Linked DNA regions of Macaca fascicularis. The protein of the gene in region 2 interacts with the protein of the main gene of each other region in a biochemical or structural test. Links are inferred from orthologs where the notes say so. Each region holds a gene or a part of one and is shown on either strand. Other genes may lie near its edges. The genes, in order: EIF2B5, GSK3B, KLF5, YWHAZ, MUC1, LRP6 and SREBF1.

Evidence for each region.
Region 1: of the proteins of GSK3B (region 2) and EIF2B5, one has a biochemical effect on the other in vitro, tested with the Homo sapiens proteins (2 studies listed by BioGRID and IntAct). The link is inferred for Macaca fascicularis from reciprocal best matches to the Homo sapiens genes GSK3B and EIF2B5.
Region 3: of the proteins of GSK3B (region 2) and KLF5, one has a biochemical effect on the other in vitro, tested with the Homo sapiens proteins (2 studies listed by BioGRID). The link is inferred for Macaca fascicularis from reciprocal best matches to the Homo sapiens genes GSK3B and KLF5.
Region 4: the proteins of GSK3B (region 2) and YWHAZ form a complex in vitro, tested with the Homo sapiens proteins (2 studies listed by BioGRID). The link is inferred for Macaca fascicularis from reciprocal best matches to the Homo sapiens genes GSK3B and YWHAZ.
Region 5: the proteins of GSK3B (region 2) and MUC1 form a complex in vitro, tested with the Homo sapiens proteins (2 studies listed by BioGRID). The link is inferred for Macaca fascicularis from reciprocal best matches to the Homo sapiens genes GSK3B and MUC1.
Region 6: of the proteins of GSK3B (region 2) and LRP6, one has a biochemical effect on the other in vitro, tested with the Homo sapiens proteins (2 studies listed by BioGRID, with this or other methods). The link is inferred for Macaca fascicularis from reciprocal best matches to the Homo sapiens genes GSK3B and LRP6.
Region 7: the proteins of GSK3B (region 2) and SREBF1 form a complex in vitro, tested with the Homo sapiens proteins (2 studies listed by BioGRID, with this or other methods). The link is inferred for Macaca fascicularis from reciprocal best matches to the Homo sapiens genes GSK3B and SREBF1.

The regions. Positions count from the first base shown.
Region 1 is NC_088376.1:96,052,244-96,056,266, forward strand, and holds the start of EIF2B5 (translation initiation factor eIF2B subunit epsilon), read left to right. Parts: upstream 1-1,223; 5' UTR 1,224-1,251; coding exon 1,252-1,446; intron 1,447-2,499; coding exon 2,500-2,624; intron 2,625-3,824; coding exon 3,825-4,010; intron 4,011-4,023. UniProt on the Homo sapiens protein: Acts as a component of the translation initiation factor 2B (eIF2B) complex, which catalyzes the exchange of GDP for GTP on eukaryotic initiation factor 2 (eIF2) gamma subunit.
Region 2 is NC_088376.1:163,085,340-163,089,520, forward strand, and holds the start of GSK3B (glycogen synthase kinase-3 beta), read left to right. Parts: upstream 1-1,381; 5' UTR 1,382-2,399; coding exon 2,400-2,487; intron 2,488-4,181. UniProt on the Homo sapiens protein: Constitutively active protein kinase that acts as a negative regulator in the hormonal control of glucose homeostasis, Wnt signaling and regulation of transcription factors and microtubules, by phosphorylating and inactivating glycogen synthase (GYS1 or GYS2), EIF2B, CTNNB1/beta-catenin, APC, AXIN1, DPYSL2/CRMP2, JUN, NFATC1/NFATC, MAPT/TAU and MACF1.
Region 3 is NC_088391.1:64,025,675-64,029,864, reverse strand, and holds the start of KLF5 (Krueppel-like factor 5), read right to left. Parts: upstream 2,801-4,190; 5' UTR 2,476-2,800; coding exon 2,215-2,475; intron 1-2,214. UniProt on the Homo sapiens protein: Transcription factor that binds to GC box promoter elements. Activates the transcription of these genes.
Region 4 is NC_088382.1:110,578,404-110,582,417, reverse strand, and holds the start of YWHAZ (14-3-3 protein zeta/delta), read left to right. Parts: upstream 1-1,214; 5' UTR 1,215-1,328; intron 1,329-1,550; 5' UTR 1,551-1,761; intron 1,762-2,537; exon of another isoform or gene 2,538-4,014.
Region 5 is NC_088375.1:105,950,651-105,954,618, reverse strand, and holds the start of MUC1 (mucin-1), read right to left. Parts: upstream 2,801-3,968; 5' UTR 2,739-2,800; coding exon 2,681-2,738; intron 2,208-2,680; coding exon 766-2,207; intron 667-765; coding exon 611-666; intron 463-610; coding exon 326-462; intron 181-325; coding exon 59-180; intron 1-58. UniProt on the Homo sapiens protein: The alpha subunit has cell adhesive properties. Can act both as an adhesion and an anti-adhesion protein. May provide a protective layer on epithelial cells against bacterial and enzyme attack.
Region 6 is NC_088385.1:14,883,575-14,886,915, reverse strand, and holds the end of LRP6 (low-density lipoprotein receptor-related protein 6), read left to right. Parts: intron 1-1,852; coding exon 1,853-2,147; 3' UTR 2,148-2,187; exon of another isoform or gene 2,188-2,397; intron 2,398-2,699; 3' UTR 2,700-2,841; downstream 2,842-3,341. UniProt on the Homo sapiens protein: Component of the Wnt-Fzd-LRP5-LRP6 complex that triggers beta-catenin signaling through inducing aggregation of receptor-ligand complexes into ribosome-sized signalosomes.
Region 7 is NC_088390.1:17,916,450-17,920,073, forward strand, and holds the end of SREBF1 (sterol regulatory element-binding protein 1), read right to left. Parts: intron 3,354-3,624; coding exon 3,244-3,353; intron 3,159-3,243; coding exon 3,026-3,158; intron 2,826-3,025; coding exon 2,660-2,825; intron 2,171-2,659; coding exon 1,970-2,170; intron 1,879-1,969; coding exon 1,767-1,878; intron 1,275-1,766; coding exon 1,045-1,274; 3' UTR 501-1,044; downstream 1-500.

The DNA.
Region 1 (4,023 bases), about 67 Mb from region 2:
GACACGACGGGTCAAGTCGGAATCGCCACGTGGAAACAACGCTCAGCATCGCAAACTTCAAATCCCGACGTGCAACGCGGGGCGGGATGGGAAGTTTGCAGGAACTGCAGAAGCCTGTGGCGTGGAACCTGGACAGGTCCCGTGCAGAAAGGGCGCGATGCTTTACAGAAAAGCTTCTTGCCTCCCAAATGACGCCCAGGCTTCCTGCCTTGTTCCACCGCTTTCCCACGGCCCCGCCCCTCTGCAGGGTTGGTTTATTCCCCGCAGCCCCCGCATCTTTCCCCAAAGAGAGAAAGGTGCTGCTGCGCCTTTTCAAGCCTTGGACCTTTACGCCCGCACTTTCCTCTGCCCAGAAAGCTTACTGCTTAATGCCAGTACAACTTACTGGTGTGCCTGGATCCACCCCTGTCTCCACTCTGCTTAAGACAGAGGAGGATGATAGGCTGGAAGAATGAATAGATGACATTAAATCGTCATTGTTATCCCCACATAACTTGGCAGCAAGATTGTGGAACTCTGCAGTCTGACAGATCGGGTTCCAATACCAGTTCTTCCACTTACTAGATGGGTAAACTTCCTTCATCCTTCTGAGAGTTCAAGAAATGTTTGCTGAACGAATGAATAAGATGTTTTGCAGAGATATGTGACGAATTAAATGAGATAATGCTTGTATCGTGCCTAGCCCAAAATCAGCGCTCAATGGAATTACTAGTCTCCCTACTATATGCCACCTTCTCTATGCAGGCTCTGAGTTCCTCGCAGCGGGGGGACATCTGGCTCGGTTCCATCTCCCCAAGGCGCTGGGTTCCCAGAAGTTTCTAGAATGAATACGGAGGGCTACATATTTCACATGCGCGGGGCGGGGAAACTGCTGGACGATTACAGGTTCCGGATGGAGCTGGCCCCTTCGTGGCGACCACAAATCCTATCACGCTGCAAGAATCTCGACTTGTTCACAGACAAATGAAGGTCGACGATACTTGCAGACCGAGTCTGACGTCTATGGGACCCCACCCCTACCCTGCGCCTCCAGGGGCCGGGACAACCGCGACCCGTCCCCACTCCTCGCGCCTCCGGGATCAACCTAGAACTCTGTGGGCGCCCGCAGAAGACGCATGCGCACTGCTCCCTCCTCGTCTCCTCCTTCCCTTCGTTAATTAGTTCATCGCATTTCAAGTGCTGGATCCTTTTTGTCCCTTATTGCGTGCGGTGTCAGCTTCCTTGCGGAAGTGGTGGCCGTGAGAGAAGAAGATGGCGGCCCCTGTAGTGGCGCCGCCTGGTGTGGTGGTTAGTCGGGCCAACAAGCGCAGCAGCGCGGGGCCGGGAGGCAGCGGTGGCGGGGGAGCCAGAGGGGCGGAGGAGGAACCGCCGCCGCCCCTACAAGCAGTTCTGGTGGCCGATAGCTTCGATCGCCGCTTCTTCCCCATCTCCAAGGACCAGCCTCGGGTGAGCGCAGCGCACGCGAGCAGCCAGAGGGCAGGAAGTGTGGCAGGGCTGGAGCAAGTTCTCCTTTCGGCTAACTACTACGGCAAGCCTTTGAAGGACTTGTGTCCATACTGTTATCCTAAAACCGAGTTTACGTGGTTAGGAAGGAGGCAGAGGTACTGTCTTAAACCCTGATGACTGCTGACCAAGTTAGTGGCCGGCAGATTTGGGCATTGGTAATGCTGTACACCTCGGGTTTGAAAAGAATGAAGAGAGCTAAATGTAGAAACAGCGCTTGAGAAAGTCTTCACGCGGGGATTCAGTGCCCCTGGAAGAGGTTGCGCCGCTTTTAACCTTGCAGATGACGGATGCTTAGGTGAAAAGAAACGACCTTTTGCCTCTGAAAGGGCGGTAATATGCCTTAAAAAGAACAGGCTAGATCTCGGTCAGTGTACTTTTTTTTTCCCCCTCCAGGTTCTAATGATACCCGGTGCTATCTGTCGAAAGGACAAAATGGGTTTAGTGGTTGATTGCCATCAGCCCCCGAGTTGTCTAGACAATGGAGTATTGAACTCAGCTGGGTCGTTCAGCAGCCCTCAGTTCAGAGAGAGGGAACTGCATGGGATTTAAGAAAATCCTCTCTAATTCTTTCGAAAAAGCCTAATGGCTGTTCATTTTTGAAAAGTGACGGGAGATGGCTAACCTCTGACACTTAGAAAGGGATCAAGGAAGGAAATCTTATGGGGAAGAAGGCCTTAGCAATGCTTAAATTTATGGAAATATGATTGATTTCCAGTATTATCCTTTGCCAGCGGTGAACTGCCATTCTGTCACAGCTCTGTGTCTGATACAAGGCACACAGATTCTGTACTTACCATCCCCAAATTGCAACGTTTCAGACTCAGGCTTAGAGCATGACGTGAACATCAAAGGCAGGAACCTGTGTACCTTTGAATTGGAAAGATACAGCAAAATTACACCATTTGGAAATATTAATAGAGGAGTGAAAATTGTTGCAGTGGGGTATCCAAAGGGATTCGAGACCTCAATTTTTTTTCATCTTCTATCCTTCAGGTCCTCTTGCCCCTGGCCAATGTGGCATTAATTGACTATACTCTGGAATTCCTGACTGCCACAGGTGTACAGGAAACATTTGTCTTTTGTTGCTGGAAAGCTGCTCAAATCAAAGAACATTTACTGTAAGGCCCTGCAACTTTTCTTCTTTTCTTTCCATGTTTCGCCATCTTTTTCCAGTTTCTTCAGGATGAATATAACTAAGGGGAAATGTGAGAAGGGAAAAATGTGTCTACTTAGACATCATTGTAAGTTCTAAGGGTATTTTTTACACTTATCAGGAGGTGAGCAGCTGAAACTTTGTATCTGTCTGTCTTGGGTTTTCTATGACAAAGATTAAAGAATAAACTTGGGTTTTTTCTGAATCTCATTATAAAGTTTGGTCCCAGTGGACTTTGCTTTTATGTAATGGCTTCAGTATGGAAGTTACAACGATAACATCTTTGTTTTCCCACTGAGTTTCTAAATCTTGTTTGTTCTCACCTTCGAGGATATAAATGAGTTCCTTGTCATTTTTGTATTCCCACTGCCTAACTCAGTCCCAAGCATGTAGTGAGCACTTACATGTTTTTTGAAATCTTGAAAACTAGGGAATCTGGCCGGGCGCGGTGGCTCAAACCTGTAATCCCAGCACTTTGGGAGGCCGAGGCGGGTGGATCACGAGGTCAGGAGATCGAGACTATCCTGGCTAACACGGTGAAACCCCGTCTCTACTAAAAATACAAAAAACTAGCCGGGCGTGGTGGCGGGCGCCTGTAGTCTCAGCTACTTGGGAGGCTGAGGCGGGAGAATGGCGTGAACCCGGGAGGCGGAGCTTGCAGTGAGCCGAGATCACGCCACTGCACTCCAGCCTGGGAGACACAGCGAGACTCCGTCTCAAAAAAAAAAAAAAAGAAAACTAGGGAATCGCATCACTTATGGAAGTCCAGGAAATAAAGACTAGGACATTAGCATGGTCTCCATCAGACAGTTGCTAAATGTTATATGGATTGCAGAAGGGGAAAGCTGACATGAAGTGTGTTCCCAGGGTACTTTGTGTACCCTAGGCTTCAGCAGGATTTTGAGTTCAAATTGATGTTTAGGGACAAGGGGTCAAGGTATGGAGGGGAAATAACCATGTTTCCTAACCCATAAAACAAGACTGGTGACACAGGATGCTGAAAGCATTCATTGTAGTTCATGATTCTCTTTGAAGTTGAAGACGCTGGCAAGAACCCAAAAAAGCCATTGAGGACTGTGAATGCTGAATGGGGGTGAAAAATGGGGAAGGCTCAAATGATATTTATGCTTGATATATTCATTCCCCTCACCCTCCCTTCCTTTAGGAAGTCCAAGTGGTGCCGCCCTACATCTCTCAATGTGGTTCGAATAATTACATCAGAGCTCTATCGATCACTGGGAGATGTCCTCCGTGATGTTGATGCCAAGGCCTTGGTGCGCTCTGACTTCCTTCTGGTGTATGGGGATGTCATCTCAAACATCAATATCACCAGAGCCCTTGAGGAACACAGGTCAGGATGGGAA
Region 2 (4,181 bases):
ACGGGCTCCTCTAACCCCCCATTTCCTTGGAGGCTTCAGGATATCCGGCCTGACGGCATTTCCCCTCACCTGCTTTCGGGGCCCGTTTTGCGCTGGGCAGTTGCGCCCAAGGAGCGCGCGCATCCAGCATGAGCTCATTTCTCATGGGCGTTTCCAGAGGCCCGGCCGGGCCGCGCACACCAAGCGCAGCGGGCCTCTCTATCAATGGCCCCCGAGGCTGGGCGGGGCGCGGCCGCCCAAAGAAGCTTTGTTCCCATTTTAGCGTCTGAGAGCTTGCTGCCGGCTGGGAAGGCCCCCTTTGTCCGTCAGGCCCTTTCGGGGAAGAGGCCGACACCCGGCACACGCGATCCAGGGCAGAGGAGAGCCTTAGGCGCGCAGAATTGGCTGCGCCCCGCCGAGAGCCTCCTGTGGATGGGGAGAACCCCTCGACCCCTCTGCTCGCTTGAGCGCTTAGAACCCAGCGCCGCCGACCGCAGCACTTTCCGATTTGCTGCGCCTAGGGCAGGCGGTCCCTATTTGCGGTTTCCACCGTAGTTGGAGGCCGCAGGCGAGCCGTCGGGTCGTCAGCCACGACCCTAGTCGGGCATCTCCCAGGTCCTGGGACGAAGGCCGAAGGCCAATCACACCGCAGCTAGGTCTTGCGATTGGACGGCAGTGAGAGCCGATTGGCCACCGCCGCGAGTTTCGAGCTCCACCCTCTCCCTTTTGCCCCAACTCCAGCGCCTAAGCTTCCGGCCAATGAGACGGCGCTTTATAGACGCCCTCCCTTCGCTTTCTTTTCCCCACCTTGGAGAGGGAGGGGGAGTCCTGACTGGCCAAACTGTCCTCGGAAGCCCCCTTCCCTTCACCAATCACCGAGGGAGGTACGCTCCCAGCGGAGTTTTCCAGCCAATTACAAAGCGGCGGCGGCGCCCAACCGTGCAGTTTCACCAGCGTCTCTGGGTTTCACCGTCTTCAACTCTTCAAGCTTTTTCGTGAGGGCCGGCGACTCTGATTGGCCACTGTTGCCATTGTCGAATGTCTCCTCCAGCCAGCCACCGAACCAGGCGAAATCACCCTTTCCGTTCGGCTGCCTTCGGCATTTTCCGCTCTTTGGGCGTGGCTTTCCAGCGTCACTTTCTAATTGGTTTCTCAGGCCGATCGGCTTTTTCCGGGAGGAGCCGCAAACAAACGACGTCCGTGATTGGCTCCGTTCGGGCTTCGGCTCCCAGCCGAAGCGGGCGAGAGTGGGGCTCGGGCGGCGATTCCCAGACGCCTGTTACGCGGGCGGCGGTGCGCTGGGCGGTGTAAGGCTGGGTGGGGGAGGAAGGAGGTGGAGGAAGAGTAGGAAGGGGGAGGGGGAGTGGGGAAGTGCAAGGCGGCTGCGCAGACAGCGCTTCTCACACAGAGCAGCCCCTGACCCGGGCGAATGCGGGCTTGTGCCGCCGCTGCCGCCGCCGCCCGGGCCGAGTGACAAAGGAAGGAAGGAAGGAAGGAAGCGAGGAGGAGCCGGCCCCGCAGCCGCTGACAGGGTTCTGGGCTGGGGGCAAAGCGCGGACACTTCCTGAGCGGGCACCGAACAGAGGCGAGGGGCGGGAGGGCGGCCGAGCTGTTGCCGCGGACGGGGGAGGGGGCCCCGAGGGACGGAAGCGGTTGCCGGGTTCCCATGTCCCCGGCGTATGGGGAGCAGTCGAGGAGCCGCTGCCTGGGGTCTGAAGGGAGCTGCCTCCGCCACCGCCGCCGCCATGGCCGCTGGATCCAGCCGCCGCCTGCAGCTGCTCCTGGCGCAATGAGGAGAGGAGCCGCCGCCACCGCCCGCCTCTGACTGACTCGCGACTCCGCCGCCCTCCAGTTCGCCGGGCCCCCGCCGTCAGCCCGCCGGATCCCACGGCTGCCGGAGCTGCAGCGTTTCCCGTCGCATCTCCGAGCCACCCCCTCCCTCCCTCTCCCTCCCTCCTACCCATCCCCCTTTCTCTTCAAGCGTGAGACTCGTGATCCTTCCGCCGCTTCCCTTCTTCATTGACTCGGAAAAAAAATCCCCGAGGAAAATATAATATTCGAAGTACTCATTTTCAATCAAGTATTTGCCCCTGTTTCACGTGATACATATTTTTTTAGGATTTGCCCCTTCTTTTCTCTCCTCCCAGGAAAGGGAGGGGAAGGAATTGTATTTTTTCCCCAGCCGTAAATCATCTATATGTTAAATATCCGTGCCGATCTGTCTTGAAGGAGAAATACATCGCTTGTTTTGTTTTTTATAGTATACAAAAGGAGTGAAAAACCAAGAGGACGAAGTCTTTTTCTTTTTCTTCTGTGGGAGAACTTAATGCTGCATTTATCATTAACCTAACACCCCAACATAAAGACAAAAGGAAGAAAAGGAGGAAGGAAGGAAAAGGTGATTCGCGAAGAGAGTGATCATGTCAGGGCGGCCCAGAACCACCTCCTTTGCGGAGAGCTGCAAGCCGGTGCAGCAGCCTTCAGCTTTTGGCAGCATGAAAGTTAGCAGTGAGTATTGATTTTATTTTACGCCCCTTTTCCACTTCGCCCTTAAAATAAGAAATCTCGGAATACCAGGATCTGAAAATATTAGACTTCCTAATATAACAAACAAGCAATGGAAAAGGGCAAAACCTATCTTCAGTCAAGGATGAAGCAGCTCCCTCTTTACTCCTCCCATACCCCCTCCCCCGGTCTCATTAACCTTGAATTGAGATAATATGATTTTTATTTGGATGATTCGATTTGAAACTGCTTTCTTATACTTTTCTTGCTGTTGGTAGTCAGTTTCATCAAGTGCTTGAGTGTTTCCACGTTAGTGATGACCGTGTTTACTTGCCCATCCTTTAGAATAAAGAGAAGGACAAGATTTGATTAATAAACCATTGTGCACATTTGCAGAATGTATGTCTTTTGGAATAAGAGGGTATTTTAGGTCTCAGGATTTATCATAGTTTGGTATACTTAATAGAGACATTAAACGTCCCACCCTCCCAACATTTTTTTCTTGTCTGTATGACTACACATAGTATTTGTTCTTAATCTGTGGATGAACTTGCTCAGTAACCATTCACATTTGGAGGCTGTCATTGATTTCTCTCTTTAGAAGGGACTAGTGGGAGCCAATAAATACCCAGCAGCAGTAGCATCTCTGTATGCATTTGTGTTCGATTGGATTAGTGGTTTGATGTGTTCTCTCTTAACCTTCCTGTTTTGACATTACCAACCTGCCACCGTATAATTTATATTTAATCAAAAGGTAACATGGAAGTATTAATAGGTCCAGGTTTTGATTGAGATTTGTTTTGTCATAGTGCCAAATAGTAAGTTAAATGTTGTCACTGGCTCATTACATTTAAGTTCAATTTTGGAGTACTGTTGCGCTCCTGTTAAATGTTCTGGGGGGTTCCTTAAAAAGGACGATTTAAAATACTCTTGCGTTAGTTTCCATCACATTTAGATAACTGTGGATTTAGTTAGAAGAATGTGGATTTAGTCCTTTCCATTTTGGCTTTTGCAGATGGCTGTGGTCCTGCAAATAATAGGGATATTTGGACTGTGTTCAGGGTTGTAGATAGACTACTCTTGTCCTGGGTTTGTGCTGAGAAGTATGCTTTTGAATGTTTAGTATATACTAAGTATCTAATGTTCCAGTGTATCTCTATTTATGGAGAAGTTCATGTGGTGTTTAATGACAGCTTGTTTAAACATACTTTCAGAATTTAACAAAAATATCTATGTTGTTTCCTTATTGTGGGAAAGAGGGTCATCATGAGGGCAAAGAAATTACTGTGTTGCTTAGAAGAACGAAGAGAACTAAAAAACTGAGATTTTAAGAACTGACACACACAAAAAACATGTATGTTATGTGAAATTGATTATATTCTTAGGCAACATAAAATGATCACTTTTAGTTGAACTCAAGATTTCATTTCGTGTTGGCTTTGGGAACTAGCCTGAAACAGGGTAGTCTAGGTAATAGCTGAATGGGAGATTATTTTTCAAAGTTAATTTTTTTTTTCCCCCGGTGGTTTGCAAGTAGAGAATGCCGGGGTAGGAAAAGAGGACAGCTGATTATGCATCTTTCAGGGAAGGGTCGTGCTTTCTAAGCGCTTCATGGAGTCATTTGAAAAATATTTTAAAATTCCGGGGTAATTTTCAGCTATGATGATACAAATCTTATAATAACTACTTAAGAGCCT
Region 3 (4,190 bases), on a different chromosome or scaffold from region 2:
TCTTGGGAAGGACAAACAATCGGCGCCTACTAAAAATTACCCCAATCCCTGTATAAGGTACTCGGGCAAACTCCTCAGTGTTGCTTATAAACATATCAGGCTTATTTTGTCGATTGTGTAATAATTGGTTGACCAAAACCTTATGAAACTGTGTAACTGGTAAAACTGCTCCCCCAATCACCCCCAAAAGTGAAAGACGCAAATCAAGAAAAAAAAAGAAAGCAAACTGAAAACATTCCTTTCTGATGCAATAACAAGGTATCACCCCTGTACAAGCAGGATTCCCTGCCCCATTACACAGTTAAATTTGCAATTAGAGTACACTATTGAAATGTTGCCAAACTACCTCAATTCTGTTTAAGTCATAAACATTAAAAAGCGTGTTTTTTGTTTTGTTTTGTTTTTTTACAGAAAAAACTATGCAAACCTTTAAAATATTGCAAAGGTTTATTTGGCTAGACACTTCAAAAGTAATATAAAAAATATTCTTTGGCTACTTCTGTGTCTTTTCTTGTTTACAGTTCAATGAGAAATACAATGTTCTAAGCAAAACCTTGTATCCACTGAAACAAAACAATTTCACATTCAATATTTGACCTAAAGGTTGATTTTAATCAGCAGATCCTGTAATTGGTTAATATGATAATGAAATGTTCCTATTCATACCCCTATCTAAAACAGATCTTTAATTACCTAGGGGAAAATCACTCCCTCGCTAGAGTGCTGCTAAGGAGCCCGTGGGTGGGGAGGCTGCTGTATCCCTAGCACAGTCATCAGCAAAACATTTATCATGTCCTCCTCAGTGGGCCAATGCTACATTCCCCCCGACTCTGTAAAAAGCTCAGTCATCCCTTATCTTCTTGTGCCTCCAGAGCAGAAAATTGACAAACTGAAATAACCAAATACTTTTCAAACGATGATCTCTTTTCTAGGCTTTTAAATCAGCTTGTAACAAGTCGCCTCAAGCTTTTTCCAGCTATCTTCTCTCCTAGTATAACTTAAGCCTACATTTTTTAACACTGAAAAAGGAAATTTCGAAAGATAAGATAACCAACTAGATGGAATGGCGCATAGTATTAGCTTGGCACCTTAATCGGTAAATAAGACAGTCATTTTCTGCTACTACTTCATTTCAAATGCGTTTCATCTCGGACCTTGGTGTGGATCCGGACGGGGTTTCCCGGATAGACACGATTTAAAAATAAAAATTAACGCTCACGTCATGTGAGTCACATCTCTGACAAATGCCACTGCCCTCTCACAGCAGGACCCTGACAGACCCCACGGAGTAGGCGCTGGGTAGCAAATATGCGATACGCCAAAGGGCTACTAAATGAAGTGTCTTGAAATAAACTGAACTAAACCCTTTCGTGCACTGCGCTCCCGCGGCGGTTAGTGGTTTCTGATTTTAGCTCTTCCAGCTGTTTGCATGTGGGTATGTTTCCAATTTTTTTTTCCTTGGGACAGGCTAAAAGTCCCGGGAAGTTTTTTTCTGGGCTATATGACTCCCTGCGTGGGCGAAAGAAACAGGCGGTTGCTCTAATTCGGCTGCTGGGCAAGTGTAAAAGCCAACTGCCAGCTTTCAACGCGGCTCCGGGAGGAAATTTACGCGCACACGAAGAAAACAACACCCCCGGTCTTTTTTTTTTTTTTAAGGAAAAATAAGCGCTCCAACACAACCTTAGCTTTCCTAACTCTCATTTTCCAAACGCGGCCCGCGATCGCTTCTAAAGCAGGTTGAGCCACCGGCTATGAAATCTTGAGCAACCTCTCCCCAGCACCCCAATTTGCGTTTCTACTTAACCCGAGACGATGGGGATGGGGGAGCTCCAATGCCTTGGCACTGGGGAGCGGTAAAGGTGAAGACGTAATTTAAGTAAAACTGAGCGTAAGGTACAAGGTTTCGTCCCTCAAGTGTAAGAAAAACAACTAAGGTGCGTGTGAGCACCCAGTTCCCTCCCTCTGATCTCTCCCAGGCCAAGCCGCCGGGGCAGATTCCCCTCTATCCTTCCCCCCTCCCGACCCCTCATTTACTCTCAGCGAAACGCGGGTCCCCGGCCAGGCGTGCAGGGCGGGGCTGCCCACCCAGCACCGGCTCCGGTGCGCCCCGACGCACGCCCCAGCCTGGAGCGGCCCCTGTCGCCCGCGCGTCGCAGCGACGGGACACGCCCGGGCCCGGGAGTGCAGTGGTGGGAGGGGAGCGGCTCTTCCTACCTGGACTAGCTCCTCGGGAGGCAGCCGCGGGCCGGCAGCGGGCGGCTGGGCCGGCTGCGGGGCCTGCGCGGGCGCGGGCTGCGCCTGCGAGCGGTGGTGCGCGTGCTTCAGCTCCTCGCCAGGGAAGAGCGCCGCGTCGCGGGCCGGATTTGCGGCGCCCAGCACGGGCTTGAGCTGCGCGAACACGGGCTCGTCCTGCGGCGCCGGCGGCTGGGGCACGGGTCCCAGGCGGGCGCTCATGCTCAGCACCCGCGTAGCCATGGGCACTCGGGAGCGCGGCTCCGGGCGCGGGTCGGGCGCACTTCCCACCTCGCCCACCCTGGCTTGGGGCGGCGAGCTCGGTGCGGGGCTGCGGTCGGAGGAGGGGAGAGGTTTCGGGTGGACCCCTCAGACAGCGGCAGGCAGTTTTCGAAGGCGCGCACGAAAAGCAAAACTCTTCCGCTCTTCCACACGTAAACGCCAACGTCCTACGGGCGGCCACTTTCTCCCGCCCCGCCCCACTGCGCTCTCAGGCTCTCCAGAGCCCGCTCCCGCCACCGCCGACCTCAGCGAGAGAACTGCGAGCGCGCGTACCTGCCCCACGACTACTGACACTTGACGCCCGCCTCTATTTCACCCAACTCCGGGGGGGCGGGGCCCGCTCGCCTGATTGGCAGCGCCGCCGCGAATCCCGAGGCCTCAAGGCCGGCCGGGCCTGAGCGGCCAGCCTATGAGCAGGGAGAGAGGCAGCCAGGGCCCCGCCTCCGCCGGCCCGACCGCACCCCTCTCGGGCCACGAGCTTCGCGCGCAGGGCGGCCGCGCAGTTTGTACACAACTTCTCTGACAGATTGGGCTGGCGGAGCTGGGGGCGGAGGGAAGTAGCGGAGCGGGTGGAATCTGGGAAGAGGGGGAATTAGGGTGGAGACGCGGAGGGAGAGCTCTTCGCACTGTTCTCTGCCAGGATTAGGAAGAAAAAGAGTATTGCACGTCTTAGGTGTTGTGCAAGGACCTGAAACTCAAAAGCTGAAACCCAGAAGGCAGCTAGGTGGGGGCGCTGAGGCTTTTAGAGATTTGTCTAATGAGTGTGTACTTTTAAATATCCGAAATATACTTCTCTTTAGCAGAAAACTAGGGGCGGTGTGATAAACAAATTTAAAACAGCTCTTGTCTCATGTATCTTTAGCAGTGACTGTATCCATTTAACAAGGCAAATTCAGAATGCCTGAATAAAAGATTTGATGGGAAGCGTTATTTTCAAATCCTCGCATAAAAGCCTGAGTTTTTCCCACTCCTTCAGGATTTTAATTGCTAGACGTTTTCCCACACATTTGTACCTCCTATCCGTGTGTGGGGAGGAGGGCTTGGGCCACATGAATTTTGAAGTTTCTAATATTTAAGCCATGTTGATTCTAGCCGAAGCATGGAATCTAATTTAAGCACGACTGGCTCAAATGTGTACTTAAATAGACATTACATCTTTGACTTATTTTTGCTAGCACTGTATGTTAAAAAAATGGACTTTAATATTTACAAAACAGAAACCTAGCACATTTACCTCACATTGTGGCACCTTTTCCTACGAAGAGACAACCAGAAAGCCACAAACATAGACACATAGACACTGAAAACTGGGAATCCAAATTTGTTGGAAGGTAATAGCCAAATATATTACCGTCCATTTACTATGTTGTTATAATGGGAGGGTGAATTTTTGCCAGGAATCACCTAAGGAAACCACTTCCCTTAATCCTTAATGTTCTTGTACATGATTTTATCTGGCTTATTGGGAGGACGGAACAATAAACTGCAATAAAAATGCTTGTGATATTACTACAAATGTACATATGTTGACAGCACAGTATACCATTAGACAGTTTTACATATACGACAGCCTACTCATCGCTTCAGAGTAAAACAGCTTTAAAAAAAAAAGTATTTGAAAAAAACGTTCACTTCAAAGAGCATATCTATCAAAGGTATGGATCTCATTTTCAATG
Region 4 (4,014 bases), on a different chromosome or scaffold from region 2:
AGTGTTTTTGTTGCCAGTATTTTATTGCCGTGGCTATCAAAGCACATAGAGGTTAACCAACTTGAGTGAGGTAAGAGTTGCGCATTGAAGAAAATAAAACAGGTCAGGGTATTAGTGAAAGTCTCCAGCAACGTTCCCAGGGTTCATAGGTTCTATTTATTCTGCTCTGTATGCCATAGGTTATTCCTTATTTCTTGAAAGATCTTTTCCTCAGGACTTTCATAACATCCCCTGTTCCTTTCTTGCAGCTTCATTGTATCTTTATTGTGCAGACACGTTGACTTGAGTACGTAAAACCTAACAGTGCCTATTGTTGCGCTAAAAAATGCCTTTCTATTAAAGCATGAGGCAAAAACCTAACTTAGCTCTTTCTTTCCTAAACTCACAATTTATAGAGAAACCCCTTAACCTCCTCTGAAACAAAAGGCATACACGCTACATAGACATATATTTGAGACATTAAAGAAACATGAATTTCCATTTTAAAAAACGTTTAACTTAGTATCCTCTGTCAAATTTCTGGTGCCTACCACAAAACTGGAAAAAACTGTTAAAAAAAATAGCTTTTGAAATATTAGTCATTTTAAGTGAGTCACGCCCTAAAAAGAATTTACTTGAGAGTCAAAGCTAGTTGACCCTAACATCTCAGAAATAAAACTCCAATTTGTTCATCTATTTAACCTACCATGAATTTGTGATTTGGCAGCTTGTGAAAAACAACAACAAAAAACCCACTGAAATGGAACTGGTCACTGGAAACTCTCTTTCTGGTCTGTACTATCTAAATGCCAGCTGTCATGTCAAGCAAAAAGTAATTTGTAGAGCAGCTTTGTGGTCCACTGTATTATGCAAGAAAGACAATGTACTGGAAGAGCGAGGACTCAGTCATTTCGTGTCTACTACTGAGAAACTAAATTCTGTAGAGAACATGGGGCTAAATGAAGCTCAATAAAGATACGTTGGAAGAATCAATGAGGAGTTTACACAAGGGTAAAATAAAGAGTTCCAAGCGCTCTCATTGCTAACCGTACAGTCTCTATGACTGTTGCAAGTGGTTTTGCAGGTCATCCAGGCACTAACCTTTTCTTAGCCCGAACACATTTAAAGAGTGAAGGGGCAGCGCACTGTGAATGTTTCTCTCTGAACTTCCTTAAGTCAACTGGGCGGAGGCCCTACCCGTTCAGGCACCTGCAATTTCCGCCCTTCTCCTTCCCCTTCTTCCGGGCTACTGTCCTCGCTCATCACCCGGCCCGTGGTCCACTCCCACCGCCAGCTGGAACCCTGGGGACTACGACGTCCCTCAAACCTTGCTTCTAGGAGACAAAAAGGTAATGATAGTCATGTGTTAAGTCACTGCAGTATGAGGTCTTCACGTGAAAGCTTTATTTGGGTAGGAAAACCTAGCCTACGAGAAACGGGTCCGTGCGGTCACGCCTGACTGCCTGTCTCCGGGTCAAGGCTGCCAGGACCAGCTCCAGCCCTCCGCCAGAGAAGGTTGTCCTTTCCCCTCGGAACTCTGGCTTCCCTAAAGCGGACGCGCCTCCTTCCAGGCCTCACCTCCCGCCGGCTCCGCCCGGCCCGGCCCGGCCCATCTCGTCCCCACCTCGGCGCCCACCCATTGTCCCCTCGGGCAGTCACCGAGCGCAGATCCCGAGCTCTCGATTGGAACGCCTCCCCATCACTCAGCCACACTCGGGCTGGACGCCTCACTCCCGTTTCCGAGCCATAAAAGGTCTAGGGCCGCTTCCCCCAAGCCAGCAGGTAAAGCCGCGGCGGCGGGAGGGAGACCGGGAGGGGCCGCGCGCCCCTCCGGGCAAGGGGAGCGGCGGGGGGGCGGGGGGAGCGCACCACACACAACCCTCCCTTGCCGTGCGACCGCGCCCGGCCCCCACCCCGCAAGTCCTGATCACAATGCCGGAGCCGCCGAGCCACCCTCGTCATCCTGCCCGGGGACGGCCCCGGGGCAGTTACTACCGCGAAGCACGGAGGGCGGGGCGGGGCGGGCCGGGCCTCGGGGAGAGGTGGGGGGATGTGAAAGGTCCCGGATGTTGCTGAACGGGAGCCCCTTCCAGAGGGAGTGACTGGGGCAAGCGCAGACGGCCTGAGCGAAAGCTAAGGTGGGGGTAGGGAGAGAGCGCCTTCCCACAGGCTGAGAGGAAGAGTGGACCGGCGGAGGCCACAGGGGAGAGGGAGAGAGAGGGCGTCGGGGACCCAAGGGGAAGGCGAGGAGTGGGGGGGTTTGCGGGAAAAGAAAAAAAAAGCTTCCTGCCTAGGTGCACTCGGGACAAGCGTAGAGGAGCTGGGAGCCGAGCGGGGTGGGAGAAGTGGCGGCTGCGGGCGAGGACGCACGCGCCTCCGCTCGCCCTCCAGCGCGGGCGGGCAAGACGCGCGCCGGGGAGCGGCGGTTGCGCGGGGCCCAGATCGCTGTGGGCACCAATCAACGGTTGCCATAGCAGCGTTTGACGTCATCGTGCGTGTGGTGCCCCTGCTGCCGGGGCTGGTGATTGGAGGAAACCCCGTGTCTGCGGAGCGGCTGTAGCCTGTGAGCAGCGAGATCCAGGGACAGAGTCTCAGCCTCGCCGCTGCTGCTGCCGCCGCCGCCCAGAGACTGCTGAGCCCCTGTCTGTCCGCCGCCACCACCCACTCCGGACACAGGTGAGGAACCTGGCCGCCGCCGCGCCCCGCTCCTTCCTGTCCCAGGCCAGCCTTCCGAACGCGTGGGAGCCGTCCTCGCTCCGTCCTCTCATCCCCACTAGCCCCGCGGTGGCGGCGCCGGGCTGAGGCGGAGTCTCCTCAGCGGACACGGGCGGCGGCTCCTCTTCCGCTGAGTTCGGGCGGGCGGCTAGCGGCCGCCTCCGACTCCTTGCTTCCGCATCGACGCCCCGGCGCCGATCGGTGCTCGCTCCCCCGTCCTGCTCCCGGGGGTGGGGAGGGCGCCCACACGCGAGATCCCTGGGGATCCCCCTGTCGCCGGCTCCCAAAGGTGGACGAGGCATGGCCGGGGCGCCGCCGGCCGCGATCCGTCCCCACCCTTGTCTCTGCGGGCTCCCACCCCCTCCCTCGTCGCCCTTCTCGCTTCCGCCCGAGATAATGACTCGGCGGCGGCGGCGGGCATCGCAGTGGCGCAGGTGAGGCCGCCCCCTCTTCTCTCCCTCGGCCGCCCCCTCCTTCCCCTCCCCCGCCCCCCTCCCCCTCGCGCAGCCTCTGCGCTGGGCGCTGCGGCGGCGGGACCCGGCCCTCCCCCACCCCGGGAGGCGGCGGCGCGGCGGGGAGGGGCCGGGGGCCTCGGGGATCCAGGAGCGAGGGAAAGGCCTGGCCGAGAGCGGGCCGGAGCCCAGGCCTGGCACGGCGGCGCCCGCCAGGTAGACCGGGGCGAGGCCGCGCGCCGGCGCGAGGGGGAGCACACTGCGGGGTGAGGTTTTGGGGTGGGGCTCTCCTGCGACCTAGAGCTGAATTTCGTGGGCTCCGCGGTGGGAGGAAGGACTTGAAATTTCCTGGTGGGGGTGGGGGATGGGTCTGACTTTTTTTGCTCCTTTCGAACGGGCGGAGGAGGTGCGGACGGGGGCTGCGAGTCCAGGTGGGGGTAGAGAGCGGGGTGGGGAGCCCGCCGTCGGCTTCCGTGCGTGATGGACTAGAACTGGAGGTTCCCTGCGCTCGGTTTGGGGACGCATATCCTGCTTTGGGGGCGGGTGACCCTGAGCATAGCCGCTGGTGGCCCGCTCTGCTGGGTGTGGCTCTCGTCCCCTCCCCCACCTGCAGCTGTCGGTCCCTTAGAGACGCTGTACACGGGCATCGGCGCTGATCGGTGGCGGGGAAGGCGCTGGGTGGGAGAGCGGGGTGTGTCCGTGGCGGGGCTGGTAGTGGTTCCGCTTCTGCGGGCGGCTGTGGCGTCTCTGCCCCGGGGTCGGGCGGCTTCGCTCCCCCCCACCCGCCGCGCCACGGCTTGGGCGGGGGCGCGGGCTGCTCCTCCCTCTGGCTTCGGTCGGAGGAGGGGGGAATTAACACTCTGCAGTA
Region 5 (3,968 bases), on a different chromosome or scaffold from region 2:
GGAGTGCTTTCTGTCGGCGGGGGGGTGGGCACTGATCAGGGCCAGGGACTGCACTCACCAAGGCAATGAAATAGACGATGGCCAGCACAACCAGAACACAGACCAGCACCAGGAGCGCAATGCCCCAGCCTGGCACCCCAGCCCCGGTTTGGGCAGAGAAAGGAAATGGCACATCACGCACTAAAAGGAAAAGCAGTGGTTAGGGCAGTCTCCCAGAGGAGGTGCCCCTCTAACTGCCAGCACTAAGGAAAAAGTGGGGAACTAGACACTGGAAGGAGAGGGGCCCCAGCATGGTGCTGGGCTGCAGCCAGGGAAGTAGCCTCACCGCTGATGTCTGAGATCGTCAGGTTATATCGAGAGGCTGCTTCCGTTTTACGTTGATTGAACTGTGTCTCCACATCGTGGACATTGGTGGTACCTTCTCGGAAGACCAGAGTCGATTGTACCACCACAGATCCTGGCCTGGTCACAGGGAAATGGGCACTTCAGCCACAGGTCCCAGCTCTGGCTCAGGACTCTCCCCCAACCTTGAGTGCACCAGTCCCTCCTTAAGGTCATGACCAACACCCACCCTCCAACCACCACACTGAGTCCACACCCAGAACTATACCTGAACATAATATTGGAGAGGCCCAGAAAATCCCCTTGTTTATAAATCTGCAAAAACTGGGGTGAGAGGGAAAGGACTCAGGCTTGATGCAAAGGGTGTGGACAGTTCTGATGGCTGCTTCAGGGGAACATGGGAAAGGAAAGGCTGATGCTCACCAATTCAGAAATGTCTCTCTGCAGCTGTTGGTAGTAGTTGGTGCTGGGATCTTCCAGAGAGGAATTAAACTGAAGGTTTGAAATGTGAAAAGACAAGAAAAAGAAAGAGACCCCAAGAGACAACTGGGGAGAAGTGCTGTGATTGGAGGAGGTGAAAGGAGGTACTGTGCTATGGTGAGTGCTACTGGCATCAGTCTTGGTGCTGTGGCTGGCAAGGGTGGTAGGAGTATCAGAGTGGTGGCTGGGAATTGAGAATGGAGTGCTCTTGCTGGCTGGGGTGGTGGTAGCCCTGGCAGAGGTGGTGCTGTGTACCAGAGTGGAAGCTGAGCCTGATGCAGAGTCTGAGGCCGAGGTGACATCGTGGGCTGGGGGTGCGGTGGAGCCCGGGGGTGCGGTGGATCCCGGGGCTGCACTAGTGCCCGGGGCCGAGGTGACAACGCGGGCTGGGGGGCCGGTGGAGCCCGGGGCTGCACTGGTGTCCGGGGCCGAGGTGACTACGCGGGCTGGGGGGCCGGTGGAGCCCGGGGCTGCACTGGTGTCCGGGGCCGAGGTGACTACGCGGGCTGGGGGGCCGGTGGAGCCCGGGGCTGCACTGGTGTCCGGGGCCGAGGTGACAACGCGGGCTGGGGGGCCGGTGGAGCCCGGGGCTGCACTGGTGTCCGGGGCCGAGGTGACAACGCGGGCTGGGGGGCCGGTGGAGCCCGGGGCTGCACTGGTGTCCGGGGCCGAGGTGACAACGCGGGCTGGGGGGCCGGTGGAGCCCGGGGCTGCACTGGTGTCCGGGGCCGAGGTGACAACGCGGGCTGGGGGGCCGGTGGAGCCCGGGGCTGCACTGGTGTCCGGGGCCGAGGTGACAACGCGGGCTGGGGGGCCGGTGGAGCCCGGGGCTGCACTGGTGTCCGGGGCCGAGGTGACAACGCGGGCTGGGGGGCCGGTGGAGCCCGGGGCTGCACTGGTGTCCGGGGCCGAGGTGACTACGCGGGCTGGGGGGCCGGTGGAGCCCGGGGCTGCACTGGTGTCCGGGGCCGAGGTGACTACGCGGGCTGGGGGGCCGGTGGAGCCCGGGGCTGCACTGGTGTCCGGGGCCGAGGTGACTACGCGGGCTGGGGGGCCGGTGGAGCCCGGGGCTGCACTGGTGTCCGGGGCCGAGGTGACTACGCGGGCTGGGGGGCCGGTGGAGCCCGGGGCTGCACTGGTGTCCGGGGCCGAGGTGACATTGTGTCCCAAGGTGGTAGCCGAACCTGTGGCTGGTTCCATGGCCAGGGCTAGGGTGACGTCCTGTCCCTGAGTGGTGGAGGAGCCTGAAACGGGGCTGTGGCTGGAGAGTCTGCTGCTCATACTCACAGCATTCTTAGTAGAGATGGGCATTGAACTTCTTTGGGTAGCCGAAGTCTCCTTTTCTCCGCCTGGGGTAGAGTTTGTATGACCAGAACCTGTAACAACTGTTGTGGGTTCAGGGGCTGTGGCAGCTGTGATAAGTTAAACTAATAGGGTTGGGTTGAAGGAAAAATAAGAGCAAGAAGAAAATACAAGCTCTGGCCACCAGAGAAATAATACCAGGAGGACTGGGGAGTGGGCAGCCTCAGCAGCCCCTGGGTTGGCTGCCTCCTTCCCTGCAGCAGCCTCCTTCTGTCTGCCCACAGGCCTCAGCTCCTGGCCCCTGCATTTCTCCCCTCTTAAGCCTTCCCTCTCCCTACTCCCTTCCCCCTAGACTTCTCTTCAGGACATTTGCTTGCCCCTGGCACCCACTCTTTGGGGGGAGCATCTCTTCTCAGCCTGCCCTTAGCCTCTCCCTCCTTCTGGCACAGACAGAATTCTTGCCTTTCATGGTGCATCTGCCAGGGAGCAAAACCCACAGAAAGACCACGAAGACCACCTAAGCAGGGCAGCCCACTCCCCACCTTGTGCCCCTCACCTGTAAGCACTGTGAGGATCAGGAGCAGGAAGAAAGGAGACTGGGTGCCTGGTGTCATGGTGGTGGTGGACTGGGTGGGGAGAGGGCAGAACAGACTCAGGCAGGCGCTGCTTGAGAGGTGGAGCGGGCACAGGCGCCTGCTGCTTTATACCAGTCCCCCTGGCCCCCCTCCCCCCTGCCCGCCCGCCCTAGGCACAGCTGGAGCAGGTGACAGGTGACAAAACCCCGCCCCCTCCCCCTTCCCTACCTTCTACCTGTTCCTCCTCCTCCCCTACCATTCCTGTGTAGGCTACAAGGGCTCTAATCGCTCAACCCCCTGACTACCCATTTGTTCTCCAGCTGGCCTCCCCCTTTCACCAACCACTCCCTGGCTCCAGGGTGGAGTGGGGAGGGGCAGTCTGGAACCTGGGGCCCCTGGGCTCTAGTTTTAGCCCCAGGGCAACAACTAAGGTGGGAATGGGGAACAAAGACGGCTAGGTTGAGGTTCTGTACAGCAAGGCCAGGAAGCCCACCCCTAGGTCTCCCACTCCACTTCCCTGCCCTCCTTGGGTCCATTGAAGCAGAGCGGGGCCAAGAAATAAGAAGGCTGGATAATGAGTGGACTAGGTGCTAGTTTTGGGCTCCCTCCCCCCACCACTTCCCGGAATAGCCCCACCCTTCTAACCGCTCCCTGTCCCGTTCCAAACGCAGTTCTACCCTGAAACCCACAGTCCCCGCCCCAGCCGGACTTTCCAGCAGCCTGGGTTCCCTCCTTGGCATTCTCCTGAGAAGGGAGTGGGGGAAGAAATTTCCACTTAAGGGAGGAAACCTGGGCTCCGATGAACCCTAGGGTCCTTTCTTGCCACTGTCCACCACTGGCCAGGAGCTCCTCCCGCCCTCTAGTGGTCACCAGGAGCCTTGCGGGGCTGGACCGCGCCGGCTGAGGAGCTTTTCTGACCTGGCGGAGAGGAGTAAGGGCAGCGCTGCCTAAGTGGGGCAGCGAGAGCCCGCGAGAGGGAGGTAGGGCCCGGGAGAGAAGGGTCACTACCGTGGCCAGGGAGGGAGGAACGCACAGCATGGTGGACTTCTGGGAGCTTTAGGAGGGGGCACTCCTGGACGCGTGGTGGTGGCGTCTGGAGGAAATGGAGCTAAGCGGGTGGGGTCCTGAGGTATGTGGAAAGGGCACTGAGATATGTGGGAGAGGACATTGGAACGTGGGCAGAGGAGTTGGACACGTTCTGTGTGGGCCGTTATGTACTTAAGAGGCAGATCGGGCCGGGCGCGGTGGCTCACGCCCGTAATCCCAGCA
Region 6 (3,341 bases), on a different chromosome or scaffold from region 2:
TCTTTAAATCAAATTGAATGAGGCAGTCAGCAGAATAAACATGATTGCATAAAAAACTGTTCTTGCTTAACTATTTTCCAGATAAGCCCAATTTCTGTTCCTCTGAGTCAAAACTTTCATCATTTGTTGAGATTTTGGTCTAAACTGGGACGTGAAAGAATTTTGTTAATTCAGTTTGTTTTATTTTTTTCATGAAAATAGAAGTATTTGGACTTTTAAATGTTAACCTTAGAAATTTCACCAAGGATTGACACCTGATTGGACAAAAAGTTAAGACCAAAAACAAAACAAAACAAAACAAAACAGTAACTGTGACACCATGTCAGTATTGATAGTAAAAGCCTTTGAGAACTCGCTCAGTGTGTCACGTAACTTTTGGTCTCTGGCAGCCTTTTTATTTTTATTTTTATTTATTTATTTATTTATTTATTTTGAGACAGGGTCTTGCTCTGTTGCCCAGGCTGGAATGCAGGGGCACAATCACAGCTTACTACAATCTCCGCCTCCCGGGCTCGAGCAGTCCTTCTGCCTCAGCCACCCAAGTAGCTGGGACTATAGGTGTGTGTCACCATGCCTGGCTCACTTTTTTTAATTTTTTGTAGAGACAGAGTCTTGCTATGATGCCCAGGCTGGTTTCTTTCTTTCTTTCTTTGTTAAAGACTAATCAAATGCAGTAGTAAGAAAGGGAAACAGAGTAGAACAAGGAGTTTGATCTGTACCTGTGAACAATCATGGCAGCCATTTCTTTTGAAGTCAGTCCAAGTGATAGCAAATGGTTTGTATCCTGGGTTCCTGGGATATATTATCTTGTGGTGCTGTATATCACAAGGTGTTTTATGAATGGTTGTATCACTTTTTAACTTGCTTTTGCCCCTTCTCTTGTAGTCAATCCTATCCTCTTGATCCTTTGATGAGAAAGCTTATGAAAAAATCTTTGGGATAAGTTTAAGATCAGCTTTACCATATTTAGAGTAAACGGGTATAAGAAGTTACAAATAGAAGTAGAAATGACAGAAAAGCCAGAACTTAGGTCAAATCTTATTTTCACTAGTATGTTTCTCTCTTTGCAATGCCTTTTTCTTTAGTTAGCAATGCTACAAACCTAACAACTGTACATCCCTTATAAAGATAAATAAGTGTAAGAAATAAGCTAGGCCTCTGAAATATACATTAGAAAATTCACTGACTCTTTATGGGCATTTAAATTTTATCATTTTGATGTTTAAAGCTGCTCTTATGACAGGTACTTATCTATACACAGGGAATGAAAACTGTTTCCCCCAGCCACAGCAATTTCCCTTTGCTAAGGTAACAGTAATGGAATAGTTATGCCCCTGAGGCTGTCTACCAAAATCCAGCCTGGATTGTACAGAAATTGTACAGAATTGTACAGAAGAAAGAAATGAAGTCTTCAGATGTCATTAAATTAATTATTCATCAGGTTAATTTTGGAGTAAAGAATGTTGAGGAAATACTGACATGTTTGAGCAGTATAAAATATGTAAAAACCCATTCTTCCCATAGGCTATGAAACTGCAAAACAAATTTGAATAGTCATTTTTTGTTCTGTGATACAGTTTAACTTGAAGAGTACACTCAGAGGCTAGATTGAATTCACCTCTGCATTTCCATCCTGTTCATTTTCACTTGCCACTTTCTTATTTGCAAATAAAGTACATGCTGTCTTCCTTAGCGAATCTGCCATTGAAAATTGCCTCTTGGTCTGTGTAAATTTAAATGGCAGTAGCTTATTGTTTTCATAGTGTAGTTTACATCTAATACCTCTATTCTGAGAGGGAAAATCATTTTTTTGTAAAACTAACTGCTTCTCTTTATTTTCTTCCTATGCCAGCTACAGGCCATATAGCTACCGGCACTTTGCACCCCCCACCACACCCTGCAGCACAGATGTTTGTGACAGTGACTATGCTCCTAGTCGGAGAATGACCTCAGTGGCAACAGCCAAGGGCTATACCAGTGACTTGAACTATGATTCAGAACCTGTGCCCCCACCTCCCACACCCCGAAGCCAATACTTGTCGGCAGAGGAGAACTATGAAAGCTGCCCACCTTCTCCATACACAGAGAGGAGCTATTCTCATCACCTCTACCCACCGCCACCCTCTCCCTGTACAGACTCCTCCTGAGGAGGGGCCCTCCTCCTCTGACTGCCTCCAACGTAAAAATGTAAATATAAATTTGGTTGAGATCTGGAGGGGGGGAGGGAGCTATTAGAGAAGGATGAGGCAGACCATGTACAGTTAAAATTATAAAATGGGGTAGGGAATACTGGAGATATTTGTACAGAAGAAAAGGATATTTATATATTTTCTTAAAACAGCAGATTTGCTGCTTGTGCTATAAAAGTTTGTATAAAAAAATAAATTTGTACTAAAAGTTTTATTTTTGCAAACTAAATACACAAAGCATGCCTTAAACCCAGTGAAGCAACTGAGTACAAAGGAAACAGGAATTATAAAGGCATCACTGACCAGGAATATCTGGGCTTTATTGATACCAAAAACAAAAAAGAGGAAGAAGAAAAATTAAGTCCATCTCAGAGCAGCAAACCATAGATACTTGGATGTAGCCAGCTAGCCTTCAGTTAACTAACATTTGAGGGCCAACAAGTAAGAAATCATGAAAGGAAAAAAAAGGAATTAATACTAACCTTGGACGAAAGGCTTTGTTTTCTCTAGGAATCCAACAGTGTTAGTGAGGAAGATAGATACTTCTAAAAACCCATTCTGGGTGTTGCTGTTGTAGGAGAGATCAGCCAGAGGTAAGATGCCATGAAGCTGTGTGTGTGTGCAAGTCTCTGTCCCTACCTTTAGAATCCATACCTCTGTCAAAATGAATTTTTTCTCTATGTTTACCTTGCTGCCTCCCCCAGCAACTTGGTAGGTCATTTGGCTAAGATACCAGGATTTTTTTAAGCTGAGGCATTGACTAAATGGAATTTTCTAAATTCAAGTTGATTTTAATATTTCTTCTAGCTCCATTCCCCAGTAGGCTTAGCTCTTCAATTTGACAGCTGTTTTTGCATAATGATCAAAAGTTAGACATATTATTTCTCTTCCAAGATTGTTTTAATGCTCATTAAAATGTCTTTTTACAACACATATAGACAATGTTTAAGAATTAAAAACTTAACCATTATGTTTTTGTTGTAAATTAATCATATATCCTTGCACTACTTTCAGCATATATCACAGTATGAAATCATTTATATATATATATATATATATTTTTTTTTTTTTTCTGAGTAAAACATTTAAATATGTTCTGGTTAGAGACAATCTATTTAAAAAGAATTTTTTCTTATTAGGATTTGCGCTATA
Region 7 (3,624 bases), on a different chromosome or scaffold from region 2:
AGGGAGCCCGCCCTTCACAGAACAGGAAACCTCTCCGCGCCTGTGCCCCCTCTCCAGTGTGGCGGCGGGTCGGGAGGGAGGAGGCTTCTTTGCTGTGAAAGGACCAGGGGCTAGGATGGGGGCAGGTGAGACGTGCCAGACTTGCAGGGAGACCCAAGCTGTAGCTCCTGTCATACAACAAACAGGTCCTGGAGGACAGTCCATCCTCCTCCCATGCCACCCAGGGACCTGATGGGGACACAGCTGGGAGGAGAGAAGGGACAACTGACCCCATCGAGGCCCTAAGGGTTGACAGCCCAAACGTGCCCTGGGAACAGGGGGACAGGTCAGCTGGAGGCCATACAGCCAGCCCTCCCCACTCCCCCTACTAACATCGGAAAGAGCTAAGTTGTGTCCCTCGTGGCCGGAGAGGGGAGGGAAGCCTTTTCCAAGGTGCTGGGGGAGGGCCCAAGCACGCTCACTGGTCAGCACATCAATCAGCTGAAGACACAAAACCCAGATTATAAATAATTTCATTTTTAATTCTCTGTACAAAACTTCTCAATCTATGAAAATAAAGTTTGCAAAAGGCAAAGTAGCACGGGAGCCTCAGGTCAGGAGGCTGAGCACGCTGACCTACACTATGTACACGTCTTCCCACAAGGGAGAGAGAGGCCTCTGGGGCTAGAGCCCCGCTTGCAGTCCGGGAAAGCCAAGTTGGCTTCCGTCAGCGCAGGGAAATGTACCCATCTCTTCCCTCTAAACAGGAGGAAAAAAGCCACTAAGGTGCCTGCAGAGCAAGGAGGGCCCCCCCGCCCCGAACAGCTCGGCTCCTGCAGTGCCCCGATCGGCCACCAGAGGTCAGCACCATCATGGCCGCCGGTATTAGGGTCGGGTTTGCGCCCCTCTGGCCTTCCACCCCGAAGGGACAGCGCAGCCGCGGGTGAACCGTGGAGGCCAGGGTCTCTCGCACTGCCTTCGGCCTTCAGGGCTTCGACACAGGACAGAAGCTGCACGGGACAGAAGTGGCTAGAGACAGGGGTGCTGAGGCCGGGGATACGGGTTCTAGCTGGAAGTGACAGTGGTCCCACCGCCCAGGCGCATGAGCATCTGCTGACAGTCGTGCAGCAGCCGGCGATCGCCAAGCTTCTCGAGCGTGCGCGCCGCCTCAGCCAGCATGCCCACGCGCTGCCCGGGCGCCGACAGGAAGCCAGGGGGCAGGTAGCAGGAGGCTAGCAGCAAGGCCTCCGCGTGCTCCCGCCTCGTGGGCCGCGGCTCCAGCTCCGCCACCGCGCCTGCGCACACAAGGATGTGTCAGGGATGGGGCTCAGGCTGGCCACGCCCCCGCGGGAGCCCCGCCCACACACAAGCAAAGGCACCAGCCGCCCATACCTAGTATACACGTTCCCCTCTCCCCACCCTAGTCTCAGCCCACACATAAAGTCCACAGACTGAGTCACGCACGTGTAGTCATATATCCCACAAATGACAGTTGCCCCACTGATTTCTTGTGAAAGGAATTGTCATCAGGTAACCACCAAGAAGATGCTTTTTTGTTTTTTTCCTTGAGATAGGGACTCTCCCTGTCACCCAGGCTCACTGCGGCCTCCAACTCCTGGGCTCAAGCTATCCTCCTGACTGGGCCTCCCAAAGTGCTAGGCGTGAGCCACTGTGCCAGGCCTGTCTGTCCCGTCTGACACACACGCAGCCTCCCTTGGTATCACACCCCATGTGCGCCCTTCCCTGCTGAGCAGACAGCACATCCCTGGTCAGCAGCTGCCCCTCACCTCCTTTGCCACCGGGGCCTGCCCGCCGCCTGAGACTGCGGTCGAGGAGTTGGTGTGTCCGTGTGGGGCTGGCCCCCGCCATCAGCCGGGCCGTGGCCTCATGTAGAAACACCTGGGGGCCAGGAGAGTGGAGGCTCAGGGCTGTCCCTCTCCACCACTGCCTGACTCCCCATCTTGAGGACAGGGAGCCATTGGGCACTCACCCTCCGCATGGCAGGCCGGAAGCTCTGTGCCAGCCGCCTCAAGCTGCTCAGGTCCCGTTGGAAGCCACGCAGCTCAAGGGCAGAAGCCTGAGGCCCGCTGCTGGTGCCCTGGGCTGCTGGGGCCGGGGCCGGGGGCTGCTGCTGCCGCCACAGGCTGGTGCGTACCACAAGGAGCAGGTCACACAGGAACAGCTGCACGGCCTGGGGGTGGCGGGCAGGGCAGGGTCACCAGGGCTCCAACTCTGGGAGGGGCAGGATGGGGGCCCGCGGTGCCAGGGGCCGGCTCCGGGCTGCACTGCCGAGGCACTGCACCCGCCTCACACACGTGCAATGCAACAGCAATGCACCGCGGGGCCGCCCGCCTCTCTTGGCCCCCACGCCCGCCACCGGCCCAGGAGCAGCTGTCCAGCCCTCCTGATGCAGGGCCTCCAAAGGGATCCTACCACACCATCCACCCCCATCCTCCCAGAATGGGGAAACTGAGGCCAGATAAGGGCAACCCCTCTCCTCTAGACAGAAGCCTTAGCCAAAAAGCAAGGACTGCTGGATCTCCTATCTGCTGGACCCCTCATCCTGTGCTGCTTGGGCTAACCCCATGGTCTTCTGCAGTCCCTGGGGCCTGGGGAGAAGGACCAGGGAATGGAAGGCTGAGTCCCCCAGCCCTGCCAGGCCCCTGACCCCACCCCTCACCTTATCAATGGAGCTGCTGGCTGGTGTGGTAGCCAGGCTGTCCTGCAGGTACCCACTGGCCTTCTCACAGATGGTCAGGCTGGCTGGACCAGACTCTGCCTTGGCACAGCCCAGCAGGGCCCGGGCAGCCTTGAAGGAGTGCAGAGCCGCCCTGGGCAGGGGTCTCCTGTTGGGACCAGGGCAGAAGAGTGCCAATCAGACCAGTCCACAAGCCCTGGCTGAGTGCCTCCCACTGCCCTGGCTCGAGTTCCCTGGGGATAAAAGGTGGTGACCCCTCCTGCACAAAGGCTGAGTGGAGGTACAGTGCCCAGGGGATGAGGGAGGCTGGGCCCAGGGCCAGGCAGGAGGAACCTGCCGTGCACTCACTCAGACTCCTGCAGCACCCGGGGCAGGTGCTCCACCAGTGGGCACAGCCGCTCAGCCGCCTCCTCGTCCCGCCGCAGCCAGTGGATCACCACAGCTGTCAGAGAGGCCCACCACTTGGCCACTGGGTCTATGCCTGCAAAAGAGGGAGGGTCCCCTGAACCCTCAGCCACGCTGCACGGGGACTGAGAAGGGAGCCAGGGCAGGGGCCGGGGGCTCACCGGTGGTGGTGGCCATGCTGGAACTGATGGAGAAGCTGCAGGCAGGAGCCCCCGCGGCATCAGAACAGCTGTTCAGCAGCTGCAGGTACCCGAGGGCATCCGAGAATTCCCTGTGGCAGGAGAGGGTTGGCTGTCGGGACAGATGGCAGGGGTCCTAGGAGGGTGCTGGCCCTCCCCACCTGCCCACTAGAGTACAGCCTGACCCCTGGCTCTGCAAACTGCCACTGTCTCCTCCCATAGGCTGGTGGGGAGAGGAAACCCAGAGAGGAACGAAGGGCGCATGGCACGCATGGTAGCCTAGCTCTGGCCCTCTCCGCAGGGTTGAGGACAGAGCTATTCCCAGAATCCTGCTAGAGGAGCCTTGCGTGGAGGAGGGCACAA